Saccharomyces cerevisiae S288C: one gene and its partners. Each later gene encodes a partner of the first gene's protein in a complex. Links are inferred from orthologs where the notes say so. Each region holds a gene or a part of one and is shown in the gene's direction. Other genes may lie near its edges. The genes, in order: ATG31, ATG17 and ATG29.

The links.
Region 2: the proteins of ATG31 (region 1) and ATG17 are in contact, whole or in part, in a crystal structure (PDB 4P1W), measured with the Lachancea thermotolerans proteins. The link is inferred for Saccharomyces cerevisiae S288C from one-to-one orthologs. Residues at the interface, in XP_002552568.1 of Lachancea thermotolerans: Ile73, Glu86, Ile88, Asp90, Gln91, Lys93, Leu110, Ser111, Arg112, Phe113, Glu114, Thr115, Pro116, Leu119, Gly120, Leu124, Glu125, Leu127, Val128, Leu130, Tyr131, Lys132, Gln134, Asn135, Asp136, Leu138, His139, Leu141, Phe142, Leu145; in XP_002553389.1 of Lachancea thermotolerans: Arg39, Lys43, Phe44, Ser46, Lys47, Leu48, His49, Phe50, Val51, Asp53, Cys54, Ile55, Gln57, Gln58, Lys60, Phe61, Leu62, Ile65, Leu66, Glu69, Gly70, Ile71, Asn74, Leu75, Gln283, Leu286, Ser287, Leu290, Leu293, Arg294.
Region 3: the proteins of ATG31 (region 1) and ATG29 are in contact, whole or in part, in a crystal structure (PDB 5JHF), measured with the Lachancea thermotolerans proteins. The link is inferred for Saccharomyces cerevisiae S288C from one-to-one orthologs. Residues at the interface, in XP_002552568.1 of Lachancea thermotolerans: Val9, Leu10, Pro12, Phe13, Val15, Val17, Gly34, His35, Pro36, Asp37, His38, Gln41, Val43, Met44, Phe45, Ala46, Thr47, Asn48, Val49, Lys50, Tyr51, Ile52, Phe53, Glu54, Asp55, Asp56, Glu58, Leu60, Asp65, Ile68; in XP_002553217.1 of Lachancea thermotolerans: Met1, Asn2, Ser3, Glu4, Asn5, Thr6, Ile7, Val8, Tyr9, Val10, Arg11, Val12, Ala13, Gly14, Arg15, Ala16, Arg17, Phe20, Asp22, Pro23, Lys25, Phe26, Tyr27, Trp28, Asp29, Leu30, Glu31, Asp33, Arg34, Trp37.

What each region holds. Positions count from the first base shown.
Region 1 is NC_001136.10:487,411-490,587, reverse strand, and holds ATG31 (Atg31p), read left to right. Parts: upstream 1-1,925; coding exon 1,926-2,516; downstream 2,517-3,177. Other genes in the region: serine--tRNA ligase SES1, read right to left, coding at 1-1,080; ATP-dependent RNA helicase FAL1, read right to left, coding at 2,585-3,177. UniProt on the Saccharomyces cerevisiae protein: Plays a role in starvation-induced autophagy. Involved in mitophagy. Functions with ATG17 and ATG29 at the preautophagosomal structure (PAS) in order to form normal autophagosomes under starvation conditions.
Region 2 is NC_001144.5:971,261-974,773, reverse strand, and holds ATG17 (protein kinase regulatory subunit ATG17), read left to right. Parts: upstream 1-1,603; coding exon 1,604-2,857; downstream 2,858-3,513. Other genes in the region: mRNA splicing protein SPP382, read right to left, coding at 1-1,379; guanine nucleotide exchange factor DCK1, read right to left, coding at 3,079-3,513. UniProt on the Saccharomyces cerevisiae protein: Autophagy-specific protein that functions with ATG13, ATG29, and CIS1/ATG31 in response to autophagy-inducing signals as a scaffold to recruit other ATG proteins to organize pre-autophagosomal structure (PAS) formation.
Region 3 is NC_001148.4:235,554-238,565, forward strand, and holds ATG29 (Atg29p), read left to right. Parts: upstream 1-1,784; coding exon 1,785-2,426; downstream 2,427-3,012. Other genes in the region: REV3 (DNA-directed DNA polymerase), read right to left, coding at 1-1,554; SET6 (Set6p), read right to left, coding at 2,403-3,012. UniProt on the Saccharomyces cerevisiae protein: Plays a role in autophagy. Functions at the preautophagosomal structure (PAS) in order to form normal autophagosomes under starvation conditions. Also plays a role in mitophagy and regulation of filamentous growth.

The sequences.
Region 1 (3,177 bases):
GTATGGGAACCAGGCTTCTAAATCGTACTTTTTAGCGGCAGCATTGTTTAATTCACCGGAAACGATACCAACGATACGGTATGGTAATTTCAAAGACTTATAAAATTCCTCAGAGTAAGAGATCATCTTTTCAAACTCCTCCCAAGATTTTTCAGGTTCAGTGATGACGAATTGTTCAATTTTTTCGAAAGCATGAACTCTGAAGACACCCCAAGCATCCTTACCGTGAGAACCGGCTTCTCTACGGAAACAAGAGGAGTAACCGACATAGTGAATTGGCAATTGCTCTTGTGGCTTTTCAAACCATTCACCGCTGTGGTAAGCGGAGATAGGTTGTTCTGAGGTAGCAATTAGGTATTTTTCATCTTCACCATCGATAACTTTGTATAACTCTTCATCGAATTCAGATAGTTGAGCAGTTTTTGACATAAGTTCTTTATTCATCATGACTGGAGCTTGTAAAGGAATATAACCCTTGGCAGCTAAGAACTGTAAACCATAGTTAATCAAAGCTTGGTTCAAGAAAACACCATAATTTCTGAAGAAATAACCTCTATGACCACAAATCTTTACACCACGGTCTGGATCATATCCATCTAATCTTAGCAAGATTTCATGATGGGATAAACTAGCTGGTTTACCAGTCACAGAAGCAATGGGGCCAACCGCTTCTAAATCCTCTGGTTTCCAAGTACGGACCAATTCATTGTTTTCTTCATCGTTGGAAACAACAACAGATGGATGAACGATATTTCCTACTTGAAAAACTTTTTTCTTCAAGTCCTTATCTTCCTGTTGCTCCTTTTCAGTCAATTCCTTCTTTTGTTGGGTTAACTTCTCTTTTTCGGCTAATAATCCGGAAGCGTCTTCCTTGTTTTTAAACTTCAAACCAATATCCTTTTGAAGCTTGTTGAATTTCTTGTTCAATTCATCTAATTCGAATCTTGTTTTGACCCAATCTTTGTAGTCGGAAATAATTTCATCGACGATTTCAACACTGGCATTTCTTGCTTTCTGAGATTGTCTGATTAGCTCTGGGTTACCACCCTTATCTTCGATAAATTGGTTGATGTCCAACATTTTTAATTACACGCTTTTCCTTGTGCCAGTTCACGAATTGTAATATATATATATATATATATATATTACATTGCGATCTTATCAACTTATTTTCTGCTATTTTTCAAATTTCATTGAGTTGATTCGAAGAAATGACAAAAAAATTTTTTTTTGCACCACGTGATTTTTTTTTAATATATATGAGGAACAATTTTCGAGCCGGATAGGCCGCATTCATGTTTTTTACAATTTTACCTTCGTATAAATGTAGGAACTCTTTTTTGTTCTGCTGACCATACTTACTCTAAGGAAAAAAGTCAAACATAATGTCCATCCTTATCAGTAATATGTGAAAAATTCGCCATGCTGCAGCTAATATCACCAAAATCAGTGTATTTTTGACTCGATACGTATTGTAAAACGTGCCCAGTCCTGCATCTGCATTTTCAAACGGTGTCGTCGACACTGTAAAATAAATCTGTCCTTTGAATTGCAGGCATAACTTGAAAGAAATACACACTTTCGACATATAATAGGCGAACAGGCCTTAAAAAAATTAGTTTAATGACAGAAGCACCACTCTTGTGGATTATCCTGAAAAAGTTATTTTACATTTAATATAGCGATATTGGGATTAAGTCATTTCCAATGGGTTTCCGGTCCAATGGTCCAGTGGTTCAAGACGTCGCCTTTACACGGCGAAGATCCCGAGTTCGAACCTCGGTTGGATCAGAATCTTTTTTATCGTAAAAGATAATAATTTGAAGTACATATCCATAATATAAGGGTGGTCAATATCCAAGATAAACGTCGCATTCCCATTTTCTTATTAAGCCGGTAAACATTGCTGAAATCTGCGAACAGGAATGAATGTTACAGTTACTGTTTATGATAAAAATGTCAAGTACAGATTAGAAGAGAATATCAAAAATAACAAGGGTCCCAGCAACGATGATCAACCAGCATACAATAATGAATCAAAGAGCACGGACGGAAGTGATTATGCAATGTTTCCCACTAACATTAAGTACATATTTGAGGACAACAATGATGAACTAGTAGATTCAAGTGATGCTGCTTTGACAGCAGGAATAGATAAGGTCGGAGATGAACTTGAAAATGTCATAATTGTCCAATTGGATGAATCGGGATCTCTTGAGGATATCACACTAATCAGCGACCAATATGAGCTTTTGTCACATAGGACAAATAGTCTCAGCTTGGAGGAAAACCAAATGAGAACATTATCATCACATGGTGATGATAAATCTAATGATGAAGAGGAAGAACTTAGCGTTGACAGTGATAGATTCAGAGTGGACTCGGACATTGAGCTCGATGTAATTTCACAATTTTGCGATCTGTCTCCTTTTCTTCGCGATTTGAGTTTGAATGACTTAATTAAACTCTACGTCACACAAAATGAACAATTACAAATGCTCTCCAATTCCGTATGAAAGCAAAAATGAAGCCGCATGGATGAGACTCTCTTAACTTGTTTATGTAGGTATATGTTCTCTATATTTTATGATAATTCTGCAAAATTTGCTGGCATCGGATTTATTTTGATAGAATAGAATTTTTCAATTTCTCTAAGTTTTGCTAAATCAGCTTTGGTAATGAAGTTTATAGCCACACCCTTTCTACCAAATCGACCACTTCTACCGATACGATGGATGTAATTTTCTATTATTTCTGGTAGGTCATAGTTAATGACTAAAGAAACTTGTTGGACATCAATACCGCGCGCCCAAACATCCGTCGATATCAGTACACGAGAATGACCTGTTCTAAAATCATTCATTACTTTATCTCTTTCTTCTTGTTTCATATCACCATGCATGGAGACTACAGCAAAGTTTGATTGGATTAGCCGCTGAGATAACCAATCTACTTTTTTCTTGGTGTTACAGAATATCACACATTGTGTAATGGTCAAAGAATCGTATATATCACACAGAGTATCGAATTTCCACTCTTCTTTGTCAACATTAACGACATATTGTTTGATACCTTCAAGTGATATTTCATCCCTCTTCACTAGGATTTTAACTGGATCATTCATAAATTTTCTGGTTACTTCTAAAATGTCCTTATTCATTGTTGCGCTGACAACAA
Region 2 (3,513 bases), on another chromosome or scaffold:
AGAAACTCTTTACATAAAATTTTGTAATATCTTCGTTCGCAGATAAGTTCTTTGATAAATATAATATCAGAATTAGTGATACAAAATGATTCCCTATGGTACCAATTTTTACAATAAGCAAAAAATTTTGCTTCAATCTTGTCCACAATTGTGTCTTTGATCTTATCGTCAATTAAAACCATAAAATCCAAGACCCATATTCTTGGCGAAACATGGTCTACTTCATCGTGAAGTTCCCAATTATCTAATTCCTGTAATAGCTTTGGATAGACGAATTCCTCCATGATATGCTCTTTACACCCGATAAAACTTAGCACTTGTTGGAAATCCAGTAATAGGGTGATAGCGCTGTCGATTTTTGATTTAGTCATATCAAACCCTTCCCAAAATTTTTTGAGTTTGGGATATATAACTTTAAAGATTGTTGTTTGTGTCCTGTTCAAAAATTTCGAAGTTGTATCCATTCTATATGCGAGTAGTTCTATAATTTGCGTTAACTCATCAAGTATATCGTTTGGCTTTTCTAAATGATCCAAATCAAATTCTATTAGTAATTCTTTTCTCAATAAGCAGGACGTTAGCCTATCTATGAGCTCGTCGTCGGACAATTTTAAAATAGCACCAATCTTATCATACAGGGAAACATGCTTGCTTTCGTCCCTCAAAGTAACCTCCAATTCAGAAAGAAGCCTCTCTTGTCCATAATATTCTTTGACTTGCACTTCTAACGGAGAGGTGCGCTGACGAATAGCTTCCAAACTTTTTTCAATACCCAGCAGCTCTTGCAATATCTCCACAACAACATCTTTTTTCGGCTTTGGTACTGCATTTAAAGGGTCTAATTCTTTTAGGATACTCTCTGGTAATTGTACCCCTGCTAACCTCAATTCTCTCAGTGTTCGCACTATAGTCATATCACCACTATCATTTAACAACGCTTCGCCTAAAACCTCCGTGGAGGTTTTATTGAATTTGACTTGTTCTATACCTTCAACCACCTCATCCTCAGAGCTCAAGTAATCCTCATTTTCACTGTGATAGTTACTGGAGTTGGTATTTGAAAACATTCCTAGACCTGCATTGTGCATAGGTCGGCTTTGGGTTTCTATTGGTGTAGTTATACCAGAACCATCCTTCCCAAGGCCTTTTCCCGCAACATATCCCATACTCGAAAGTAACTTCGCACCAATACCATATGTCTTCGTTAATTTTGAGATCGTTGGGGCATTGCCGCTACTAGTTTTCAAGGCATCATTAGTGTATGTCATGTCACTATTCATGCTTGAATTATTATCTTCCTCATCGCTATAATTATAGGAATCGATTCTTCTTTTTTTGAAAAAGAACTTTTTATCTGTGTTGGAGTCCGAATCCTCCATGTTTTGGCGTACTGAAGGCTTAAGTTCTTCGACCTCTCTCGGTTGTACTATTTCGAAATTTTGGATTTTTGTTATTGTTTTGACATAATGTAAATACTAGATGCGCGCTCTAAGGCCTCAGTATTAAAAATTGCAAGATATCCCTAACTTGATAATTATTTGAAAGTCGCATAACGTACGATAAATTCGATACTGCGAGGATATTATCAACGTATTTAACACCTATGAACGAAGCAGATGTTACAAAATTTGTTAATAATGCCAGGAAAACGCTGACCGATGCTCAACTTTTATGTTCAAGTGCTAATTTAAGGATTGTAGATATTAAGAAAAAATTGTCATCTTGGCAGTTGAGTATTTCAAAACTCAATTTTCTAATAGTTGGCTTGAGACAGCAAGGAAAGTTTCTTTACACTATTTTAAAGGAAGGCATTGGGACAAAGCTAATCCAGAAACAATGGAATCAAGCTGTCTTAGTGGTCTTAGTTGATGAGATGAAGTACTGGCAATATGAAATCACTTCTAAAGTACAAAGGTTGGATGGTATAGTAAATGAATTGAGCATATCAGAAAAAGATGATACCGATCCCTCTAAACTAGGAGATTACATCTCGAGAGACAACGTTAACTTATTGAATGACAAACTGAAAGAAGTGCCAGTAATTGAGCGTCAAATTGAAAACATTAAGCTTCAATACGAAAATATGGTCAGAAAAGTTAACAAAGAACTGATTGATACCAAGTTGACGGACGTAACTCAAAAATTCCAAAGTAAATTTGGTATAGATAACCTGATGGAAACAAATGTTGCAGAGCAGTTTAGCAGGGAACTAACGGACCTTGAAAAAGATTTAGCAGAGATAATGAATTCATTGACACAGCACTTTGATAAGACATTGCTGTTACAAGATAAAAAAATTGATAACGATGAACGTGAGGAGCTGTTTAAGGTGGTACAAGGCGACGACAAAGAACTATACAACATTTTCAAAACTCTGCATGAGGTAATTGATGACGTGGACAAAACAATTCTTAACTTGGGTCAATTTTTGCAGGCAAAAATAAAGGAAAAGACAGAACTACACAGCGAAGTTTCTGAAATAATAAACGATTTCAATAGAAATTTGGAATATCTATTAATCTTTAAAGATATTTCCAATCTGATTGATAGCTTCAAAAATTCCTGTACACAAGATATTCAAACAACTAAGGAACTTTGTGAATTTTATGATAATTTTGAAGAAAGCTACGGTAACTTAGTTCTAGAAGCAAAGAGGAGAAAGGATGTGGCAAACAGAATGAAAACTATATTGAAAGATTGTGAAAAGCAGTTGCAGAATTTAGATGCTCAGGACCAGGAAGAACGTCAGAATTTTATAGCGGAAAATGGAACTTATCTTCCTGAGACAATCTGGCCCGGTAAAATTGACGATTTTTCTTCCCTGTACACTTTAAATTACAACGTGAAGAATCCTTAGAAAAAAGGAAAAAAAGGATACGGTACAAAGATTCAATAATTGTATCAATATTTCGAAAAATACTTTATCAAAAAAGCAATACTTGAAGGAGAAAGGAAAAAATTCGCTGTCTTCTTCACTTTTACGACAAAGAAAAATGTGCCCTTTTCAACTAAAAGTCATGAATGAATAAATAAATGATTACATATGCGTATATTTTATAGTGAACAACTTCTGACATATTATCCCGAATGTGAGTAATCATGCTTGTGCTGTGAATCTGTGTTGGTGTTTGGCTGTGACCCTGCCAAAAAGGTGCTCGAAGTGCCGGAAACAATTCCACTTTTATCCAAACTGCTCGTAGTGGACGAGTGGGATAACGTTCTTGTTAAATATTTTCCAAAAAGTAAACTGTTTGGGCCAAATGAGTCGCTATGTTCTAATACAAATTGGCTATGATTGGACCCTGAGGTGTGATGATCCCTTCCAGAAAAGCTTGCCTTTTTATTGGGGTTCTTGTGCGAAATTATTCGAGCAGTAATCATGTTATTCCTGCTACGATTGGCCTCACTGAGAGTACGACTATATCTTTCTATCTCCTCAGCGAAATTTTCCTCAAAAAGACGCACTAGAAGATCATGTGATGGTTTTAGATCCTTTGATGGTAGTAGTTCTGC
Region 3 (3,012 bases), on another chromosome or scaffold:
TTTTCCATAGCGTAATCCCGCAGCCATAACCTTCTTTCTTTTCCGAGACAGCAACGATGTTTTATTAGCAGAAACAGATGATCTAAGTTTTCGTTTACTTGCCATATTTTGCGTCATAGCACAATCCATTGAAAAATTTATCGTATTGTGATATTTTGTTTGATGATCTAATAGTATAGTAGAATCTTTCGGAGACGCAATGCTTTCCGGTAACCATGAATAAGACCGAGACTTTATATTGCTTCCTTTTACACCTTCGTTCTCATTATCAACACCACATATCTCGTATTCGGTGAACGATGCATTAACTTGGTCGTCGTTCTTTTTATCTTGCATACTATTATTGTTTATTTCAATCTGTGGAAGCCTTGGCCACAATTGCGGTAATGCTTCATAGGGCGTATTTATGGCTGAGAATTTTTGATTCTTATCTATAAAGTTCTCAAAATTTGGTATTTGACCATCAAAAGTACTTGTTTTATGTTGTGCTTTCTTATAAAACGCTTCGAACTCTCCAGAAGATTGCCATTGATGACCACTCACATGGCGCTTTGTTTCTGGTGGTTCTTTATATTCCTTCAAGGACAACTCCTCTCGTTGCATGGTAAGTTCATTTATCATGTCCCTAGCAGAGGATACATATGGTTTGACAGGTATGTCAGAAATATCTCCCAGTTTTTCCAAAAAGTCGTGATGTATATCTCTATGCTGTAACTTTTCTCTATTTTTGATGAATTGCGGTAGTATATCTATCTCAATCAATCCATTTCCAACCCGTGGAAAATCCCTTCTACTGAGTACGTTACACTTGAAGTCACAAAATCGATCTAGTAACAACTGAAGATCATCATTAATTGTCAGCTTATCTATGTCCAGTATACTATTTAAAACAGGAGAGCGAAAATAACACCTATCCACGTTTATCCATGAACATCCAAATAAGTTAAAATCTGCGGTCCATTGTAGCAAGTAAGGAATATGTGATTCATAAATTTCGAATTTCTTTCCGAAAATCTTGCCATCTCTAATCAATTCCGAAATCCTACTTAGACAAGAAGGATTAAGCAAAGAAATTTTGTAAAACAGATTCCAGCCAACGTGGTAACCATAAAATGGTATACCCTTTACAACAGAGACATCAGCGACAAAATTGAGATTTCCAAGTTTGTCGCCGGCTAAATCGTGTTTATCATCTTTTTTCCTTTTAAAGGATGCCCTAATTTTTACTTCCAGCGTTTTATGAACTTGGGCACATCTTTGGTGTCTCAATGTACTCGTGTCAGTTATTTGTCCATCATACTTGATGAACATGTAAGGTAGAATGCCATGGACGTGGCACAATACTTGATGCCCTGTGGGTAAAGCACCAAACACCCTGATGTTTGGGACCTGTGAAAACTGGTTTAAGGGCAGGCTTTCACCGTGCGATGGGTCCAAAAAGGTGGGTTTTGACATATAGTAGTCTTGATTATTTAGCTGGATTCTAAAATAGTCTGATTTAGAGGATGATCTAACCGTATCGCTCTGTATTGTGTCGTTCGACTCCCTCGACATTTCCAAACATTTTATTTCGCCACAACTTGTAGTTTTGTATTGACTCAAATACTTTCTCTTGTTTTGTGCTTCTATTACAGAGATGGCTTTTTTCTTCAAGTACACTATTTCTAGACGCACTGCACTCGTCAAAAAAATGATTCAAGGTGAAAATAAAGGGGTGTTAGTGAATACTTATCAAGAAGAGACATACATAATTGTACTGCTGTGCATTTTCCTACTTGACTTTCATGATTATGAATAGTACAAACACAGTTGTATATATCAAAGTTAAGGGTAGGAGACCACAGGGATTCTTGGATCCTCCCAAATTTGAGTGGAATGGAACAAAGGAGCGACAGCTTTGGACAATGGTATCAAATTTGAATTATTCACAAGATCAAATAGATTGGCAGAATTTATCAAAAATATTTGAAACGCCTGAATTTTTTCTTAAAAAGAGAACATATAAATTATTTGCTGAACACTTAGAGCTTTTACAACTACAATTGGAGAAAAAAAGAGATCTTGAGAAGTATTCAAATGATCAAGTGAATGAAGGGATGTCTGATTTAATACATAAATATACCCCTACTTTACAAAATGATAATCTATTAAATGTATCCGCAAGCCCACTGACCACGGAAAGACAGGATTCTGAAGAAGTTGAGACAGAAGTAACAAATGAGGCGTTACAACATTTGCAAACTTCCAAAATTTTGAACATTCACAAGAAAACATCGGATAGTGAGAATAAGCCTAATGACAAATTGGATAAGGATGGTATTAATAAAGAAATGGAGTGCGGTAGTTCAGATGACGATTTATCTTCGAGCTTAAGTGTTAGTAAATCTGCGTTGGAAGAAGCGCTAATGGACAGATTGCAATTCTGATTTACATCTTTCACAAGCACAATCAAAAAACCAACTGTCGGCCAAAAAGGCCCGGCGTTTTACTGTTGGTAAGTCCAGTACCCCGGAATAATCGATACAGATCTGCTCATCCTTTTTTATATCTCTATTCATAGTGAATAGCATTGAATTACCTTTACGATATTTCGTTATATTGGGGTTACAAGAGTGGTTGAAATAGGAGGCTTCTGGAAATACCCAGTATCCAAAATATTCTCTGCTGTCTGAGGCTTCGCCCTCTTGCCATAAACCAAAAGCATTCCCATATTCAGTACCTAATATATGTCTCAATAGCGGTATGGAGAGCATTCTATGCAAATGTGAAGGTAATAGAATATAGAGTGTTTGAAATACTAATTTTTGAAAGTGCAGTAAGACAGGAAATTTAGATATTTTGCTAAGCTCATTCGATTGTAACATATTGAAAGCTCGGTATGTTATGCACTGAGGATCCATATATTTAAGATTAAACAAACTCTCGCACACAAACCTAATGCAGCAATATTCATCTTCGCAAGTGGGTGGTAATTGATTTATTCTCTTCGCAGATTTCATGTTGTTGATGCGC